2 linked regions of the Sus scrofa genome follow. The main gene of each other region encodes a partner of the protein of the gene in region 2 in a complex. Links are inferred from orthologs where the notes say so. Each region holds a gene or a part of one and is shown on either strand. Other genes may lie near its edges.

Region 1 (3,821 bases), on a different chromosome or scaffold from region 2:
AAGGAAGCTCAGTCAGTGGTTTCTGTCCATTTCTTTCAATCATAATATTTTAAATTGAGATGAGAGCATAGGAATTACTGAATCTCATCCTTTCCTCTTAAAGAGATGGGACCCCCCAGACCCAAAAATGTACATGTTTACGCCAAAGTCACAGATCTAGCAAGGTGCACAACTGGGGCTCCAGGCCAAAGCCTCCTAATGGCCTGCTATTCCTTCCCCCTCTTGCCCCTTCCCTGCTCAGCCAGCTAGCACCTCTCCCTGCTTGTGCCCTGTATCTGACAACCAGACAGCTAATGGGCTCTCCTGGAGCCTGTCCTTCTGGGCTCTTCCAGCTGCTAAAATGTCATTGTTTCCTCCCCCTCCTGCTCTTTTCCCCTTAAAGCAAAAGAGCCGTGTCTGAACACCAGCTCCTCCATGACAAGGGGAAGTCCATCCAAGATTTACGGCGACGATTCTTCCTTCACCACCTGATCGCAGAAATCCACACAGCTGAAATCAGAGCTACCTCGGAGGTTTCCCCCAACTCCAAGCCTGCTCCCAACACCAAGAACCACCCTGTCCGATTTGGGTCTGACGATGAGGGCAGATACCTGACTCAGGAAACCAACAAGGTGGAGACGTACAAAGAGCAGCCACTGAAGACACCGGGCAAGAAAAAGAAAGGCAAACCTGGGAAACGCAAGGAGCAGGAAAAGAAGAAACGGCGAACTCGATCGGCCTGGCTGAACTGCAGCATGGTCGGGAGTGGGCTGGAAGTGGACCACGTGTCTGATGACTCGGAGACCTCACTGGAGCTCAATTCAAGGTAACAGGTTTCCGAGGCCCAGAGCCCCTCCTAGGTGCCCCCCAGGTGGGCTGTGGAACCTCCATTCTGTCTGGTTTGCACAAACCTGGAATTCCCTTCCTTCCTTCCTCTGTCAATCCCACAATTGAAACACTTAGAAAACCAAGACGGCTGAGAATATTGCCTGCCTTAAAGCTATATCTACCTGGACCCTCCTCAACACACACCGGGGTGTAATAAACCCCCACTTCTCTCTCCACCATCAAACCCCAAGGCCAGCCCTCTAGGACACTACTAACTCCTTTCATTTTTCACTCAAGCTTTAGAAGCTTGTGCACCTTCACCATTTGTTAGCGAAGTATGTTTATTACCCCACCTCACACCATGTCACACCAAAACTTTATGACGTTTTTTTCTTTCCTTTTTACTTCAAGAACACCGAAGGCTTTGATATGATCTACAAACATTACAGAAAAAAAAACTTACGTAAATTATTCTGAGCTGTTCACATATTTTATTTTATTAAATTTATTTAATTGAAAATTAAAATTAATTTTCAATTAAATAAATTAAAAAATGGAAACACACACTTTAAACATAGTTAGTTAAATTTAACTCAGGTTTCTACCAGTTCATGAAACCAAAATCATGATTTCTGAAAATTTTTTAAGTATAGACTTGGGAAGGTGTAAGTTTTTCCCATGTATCTGTTTTTCCACTGGCAAGTAGAAGTATTGTAGTAGGAATAACAAAACCGCATCTCTGTGGCTTACTTATCCTTAGCTCACAGATGCTTACATTCATAGGCTTTGGAACCAGAAACCTTAGGTTCAAGTCTTGAGTCTAAACTCCTCCAAGTTCACAACTTTGGGCAATTTACTCAGTCTCTTGAAGACTCACCTTTCTCTGTGTGAAATGAAGACATTACTTGTACCAACCTCATGGGGTTGGGTGAAGATTCAGTGAGCCCACGTGGGTTAGATGCTTGTCATAAAGTAAACACTCAGTAAATTGCAACCTATTGTTTTGGTGCTTTTAGATTTCATTCTGGTTGTACCATCCATCCACCCATCTATCTATCTAAGTATATATGTTTCTGTGAGGCAAAAAAAAGGGGGCCAAATATTAACCTCACTTCATAAAATAGAAAATGAAGGCATTCCACAGTTAAAGGAACTGAGCAGACCTGAGCACTGGGGTAGCAGTCCCCAGACCTACAATTTACTGCATTTCTTAACACTTAGGCCAGAGCCCTGCTAGCGGTGCTCTTTACCCCTGCATTTCCACTGATAGGATCTTTTTTGTCTTTCACTTCTCAGTACAGCTTTTCTGTGGGGGTTGAAAGAAAGAGGAAAACAGCACAAGAATGCCTCATATGCAGCTAGTGATCTCGTTATTTAAAGAGTCTCCTCTTACTTCTCCAATCCTCTCCTCTGACTGGTAGAGAGAGGATTATGGAGTGATATTTCAAGGGGGTTTTGAACCTATTTAACATCATATCCCTCTTTAAGTTAACAAAACCCATCATTAAATAATATATAAAATGATAATTTATGTTGGCTAAGTAGTATAGCTTCAGGAATCAATAGACAGTGGCACTAGAAAATCTTTAGCAGGGTAAATGACCTTGCAAATATCTAATGGATTTATAAGGGGTAACAAACCTTATAAATCTTAGCTTAATGCTCATATTCAGTGTATTGTAAGATATGATCCTAATCATACATATTTATAACTAATACAAGGGCTTTATCGCCAGAACCTTTTTTATCCTGTGTATATAGGATAAAAATATATGTATGTGTGTGTGTATATATATATATGTTACAAATAACATACATAAATATATGTTATTAAAACAGAAGTATAAATATTTTTAATGAATTCTATTCATTTAAAATTTGCAATGTTCTTAAGTGTCTGTAGAATTGAAAATCACCACTCCGTCAATTCTTGTCCCAAAGCTGTCTCTTAAGTTCAAGTAGATTTAGTAAAAATTAAGCAGTGCCCTAATCAAATCCAGACCTAGGACTGAAAGAAGTAGGTACTTCTGCTTGTTCTTTCTGCTCCCTGGTTCTGAGGGACATGCCTGGCAAGCACTGTTTGTTTGGCAGACGGATGTTGGCCTTCCCCCAGTGCATCCCAACAGAGGTGTAGGGAGGAGTGGGGAACTTCAGGAGTGTATTGAGGAAAACTTATGGGCCATGCAAATTTTGTACTCCAAAAAGAATCTTTTAGAATAACTTTTAAAATTTTATAAGAAACCAACCTTTTATTACTGTCCTTTCTTTAATCTCTTTGCATTATTATATGATGATCTGAGCGGTCGGATCATATGGCAAAAACGAATCTTGTTATAAAATATAATAGCAGTATCACTTAAAAGACGCTGACACTGTTCACTGTCCCATGAACCAAGCAGTAGGAAATACATAACTTTAAATTTTAGAAGTTACATTTTGGAATGTTTGATGTTGCAAATGAAATGTACAAATACAATAGGACTCATCTAATTGAGACCGTATAATTAGCTTTGGTAAACATTGATGTAGAAATAAAATAAAAGCTTTTCAGTACTCAAAAGAGCTAGGACTCTAAAGTGTTGTCATGCTCACATGTATAATGAACATATACATATACTTTTAGGTCATAGTATATGTTTTACCTGGCCATTCCACTATGCACCTTTATTAAAGGAAAATCAGAAGGAAGGATAACAAGCAAACTGGGCAGGGTGAAAAGATCTTTCCCTTGGTCTTTTCATGTCTTTCCTTTTTCTTTCCTTCTGAGGAAATAATTGTCCAAAGGGCTATTCAGTCCCCCTTTGCTTATGTTATTCTTAAACTTAATTCACTGAATACCATTTAGAGGGAGTTCCCATCGTGGCACAGTGGAAACAAATCCGACTAGGAACCATGAGGTTTTGGGTTTGATCCCTGTCCTCGCTCAGTGGGTTAAGGATCTGGTGTTGCCATGAGCTGTGGTGTAGGCCACAGACACATTTCAGATCCCACATTGCTATGGTTGTGGCTAACAA
Region 2 (3,821 bases):
TCTATGGAGTCCAAGTCCATGTCAAGTGCTGTGGACCTCTTTGCTGATATTCATATCTCTATCATCAAAATGGAGTGGTAACCTCAGCAGCAGCAACAGTCCTAGGAGGGCTGCATTTAACATTCTGTGTTGTGGCTCAACCAACTATAGCAAAAGCTTGCAAATGTTTCAGTAAAACAGTAACTGAAAAAGTAACACAACATCCATGGTACACTGAGGACCTTCAGAAAGGGATCAGGTCAAGGATGCTCTAAGATAGGAGGAAATATTTATGCCTCTCCAAACAGGGATTTCCATTTTGAGTTTGTGACCCAAGTCTCTGCTTTAGGGCATGATTAGCAATGTAAGGATAGGCTAACTGTCCAAATACAGAAGTCTAAATTAACAAATAAAGCAGTTCTACTCTTAAAACACTGCAATAGCTTGGTTTTTTTGTTCATGATGATAAAGCATAATCCTAACACCACGCATGTTACAACTAGAGGGAATCAGAAGCAGATAAGTTAGACACAGCACTTACTATATCTTGGCAAATGTAACCAATAGCTTCCAATGTCGACTCTTTCATGTGTTCTGTGCTGTTGGGATTCGTGACATTGGCCACCAGCTGAGGAATGAGTTCTGGCCACTGGTTCACTGGGATCTCTGCACAAGCAATACCTGCCACACACTGTGAGGCAGAACTAGGCCGGTAAGTTTCTGTGCCCAAAGTCTGCAAAACCTGTGCATGGACACACACAAAAAGACAAAAGATGTCAACTGTTCCTTACTGGAACACATTTTGCCTACCGGCACACCTCTTACATCAGCCTGATTTTTCTATAGTCAAGTAGGAAAAGGCATACATAGTATAGGCTTACTGTCAGGAAAAGTGCCAGCCTCAGTACCAACAGCAGCACAATCTGTGCTGCCCCAGAGGCTAGAAAATGAAAGCAACCACCCCCTTATTTCCAAATGGAATTCTCCAAAGCCAGACACCTCACCTCTATGGTCAACACAAGGCAGAAGAGTAGTAAAGGCACAGGTACAGATAAAGAATGAAGCCACAACTGACCCAAGGTTAATCATTACCATGATCAGCTAATTCAGTCAATGAACTCACTAAGAATCACTCAAAAGGCAAACAGTTAACTGTTCCTGGCATGAACACTGGACAAAGAGTAGCTGCCAGATTTTCAGGCCAGCTCTGCTGACTGGGTCAGGTCACTGAGTATCCTGCTTTGTAGCTAATAATGATGGACTCCCCATCTTTCCCCCTTATAGGGTACATCATCATCCCTGCCCATGCTCACTCCCAACAGCCCTACCCAGTAACAGTTCTGATGGATTCTAAATGAAGGTTTTGCTCTCTTAGGGGGACCGAAGCTAGACCAGACTTTAACAAAAACTCTAAGTCAGGAGTTCCCGTCATGGCTCAGAGGAAACAAATCTGACTAGTATCCATGAGGACACAGGTTTGATCCCTGGCCTTGTTTAGTGGGTTAAGGATCGAGTGCTGCCGTGAGCTGTGGCAGGCTGCCGACATGGCTCGGATCTGGTGTTGGTGTGGCTGTGGTGTAGGCCAGGGGCTATAGCTCCAATTCGACCCGTCGCCTGGGAACTTCCATGTGCCTCGGGTGTGGCCCTTTAAAAAAGCACAAAAAAGCAAAAAACAAAAACAAACAAAAAAAACCCCACTGTATGTCAGAGACACCTGGAGGTGGGGAAGAGGCAGGAAAGAGATGAACTGCACAAAAAGGGGCTGAATAAGTATTAATTCAGGTCTAAATGAGAAGTCCAGGGTGCCTTCATTCTCTATTGCACCATCTCCTAACGGATATGGGACACATACTGAATCCCATTCTATCTTTATCTTTTCTCCCTTTTTTGTTTTTGGCTGTACCTGCAACACGTGGAAGTTCCCAGGCCAAGGAGCGAACCTGAACCTCCACAGAAACCTGAGCCACTGCAGTCAGATCCTTAACCCACTGTGCAACAGTGGGAACTCCTCTCCTTTGAATTGCTTCTAGAAGACCCTTAATTAATATTACTTAAGGTGATTTAGAGACTACAAGTATTTAACTCCCGAGTACTGAAAGTTTTTTTTAAACTAGAAGTGGTGCTGATGATATAATTATCAGAAATAAGAGGAATAAGAAATTGGCTCTCAATTGTGTCTAAGACCTAGATTTCAAAAAAGAAATAACCACCAGCAGTAAGAATGTATTACCAGATGTGCTATGAAAGGGGAAAAAACCCCAGGATAATTGCTATTTTTTTCGTGCACGAAAGCTCAAGAACACCTATACAAATTCCTACTCAAAATAAAAATTTTGGGCGTTAAAACTGATGTGATGTGCCCCATCCCCCAAAAGTCAATTACAGCTCCCATCATGCCTTCTCTCATTTACTATTGTGTAATCTGAGGAAAATGAGAAATCGAATGGGCACAATAAGCATCAAGAGTTCCAGTGACTGATGTGAATAAACTTCATTTATATCAAATTACTGAGGGGAGGATTAAAATGTTATTACATAAGTAGACCCAATGTGGATAGAAATAGCTCTACATATTTCAAATAAGATTCAAAATAAGTTGGCTTTTGTAACCTAGTTTTCTGTCATGAGTCTCTCCATGCAAGACTGGAGAGGGAAGGAGGTACAGAATTAGAAAGAGAAGTTACCGCCGTAAGGGGCACTAATTTACCTACTGCTGATACCCAGAAGCAGGAAATAGCAAATATGATGTGCAGAAGCATGACCAGCTCAAGTACACATGCAGGAATCCCCCGACTGGTTTCCCCTCCAATACCAAGGACCAATTGATGACTGAGCAGGTGTCTGACTTACTACCCTCTGTGCACTATCCATGTAAGACAGGCCACTGAAGAACCAAAGTTTTCTTGTTTTTTTTAAAAAGCATTTGTCCATATATTCTGAATCCTTCTTTGTGCAGCAAGAATTCTGATTCAACAAGAAAGTCCCAAGAACTCTTTTTTTTTTTAAAGGACCACACCTGCAGCATATGGAAGTCCCCAGGCTAGGGGTCAAATTGGAGCTACAGCTGCTGATCAAATTGGAGCCAGAGCAACAGCAACGCCAGATCCGAGTGGCATCTTCGACCTATATCGCATCTTATGGCAATGCCGGATCCTTAACCCACCGAGCAAGGCCAGGGATGGAACCTTCCTGCACCCTCATGGATACTAATCGGGTTCTTACCCTGCTGAGCCACAGCAGGAACTCCCACAAGAACTCCATAATGCAGAAGAACAAGGGGCATTCAAATTTCCTCCAAAAACAAAAACAAAAAAAACCCAAAACAACAAAACAAAACCACTGCACACAAAAACCATCGGCTCACTCTTTAAACACTTTGACAAAAAGCTAAACGTTTCTCATACTTTGCTAAGTAGATAAAAGCATGATTAGTGTCAATCCTATTTCACAAACTCTTCAGGCTTAAAAGGCCCAAGAGAGACCATGCACGTCCCCTTCTGATTCCACACTGTGGAGTCACGGAACGATGAGAATTACCCACAGCAGCAGTTCAACAAGAGCTAGGTACTAGTTATAGTTAACTAAGGAAGAATCACTTGGGAAAAGACAGTTCGAGAAAGAAGACAAATCAAATCTTCAAGTTAAGTTTAGATTGCAGACATCTATTACAGTCAGTTCTATCCCACGTAAATGAAAAAAAGAACTGACCTTCTCTAGCATGACCAAAAGGAGATGAAAGTTACTTACATAATTCTTGACTTCCCGTCGAGCATTAGCATCAATAGCAAGCCACCTCTGCTGATACTGTGCCTTGATATCTGGATCTTTCGACGTCAAAGAGT

The links.
Region 1: the proteins of KPNB1 (region 2) and PTHLH are in contact, whole or in part, in a crystal structure (PDB 1M5N), measured with the Homo sapiens proteins. The link is inferred for Sus scrofa from reciprocal best matches to the Homo sapiens genes KPNB1 and PTHLH. Residues at the interface, in NP_002256.2 of Homo sapiens: Val55, Tyr104, Pro106, Gln111, Glu152, Tyr156, Gln159, Asn196, Leu199, Asn200, Gln239, Glu274, Gln278, Glu281, Asp288, Ile295, Ser298, Glu299, Asp339, Asp340, Trp342, Val350, Met353, Glu395, Trp430, Arg434, Glu437, Asn469, Trp472; in NP_945316.1 of Homo sapiens: Tyr103, Thr105, Gln106, Glu107, Thr108, Asn109, Lys110, Val111, Glu112, Thr113, Tyr114, Lys120, Thr121, Pro122, Gly123, Lys124, Lys125, Lys126, Lys127, Lys129.

What each region holds. Positions count from the first base shown.
Region 1 is NC_010447.5:45,757,534-45,761,354, forward strand, and holds part of PTHLH (parathyroid hormone-related protein precursor), read left to right. Parts: intron 1-382; coding exon 383-805; coding exon of another isoform or gene 806-809; intron 810-3,821. UniProt on the Homo sapiens protein: Neuroendocrine peptide which is a critical regulator of cellular and organ growth, development, migration, differentiation and survival and of epithelial calcium ion transport.
Region 2 is NC_010454.4:23,918,720-23,922,540, reverse strand, and holds part of KPNB1 (importin subunit beta-1), read right to left. Parts: coding exon 3,727-3,821; intron 722-3,726; coding exon 521-721; intron 1-520.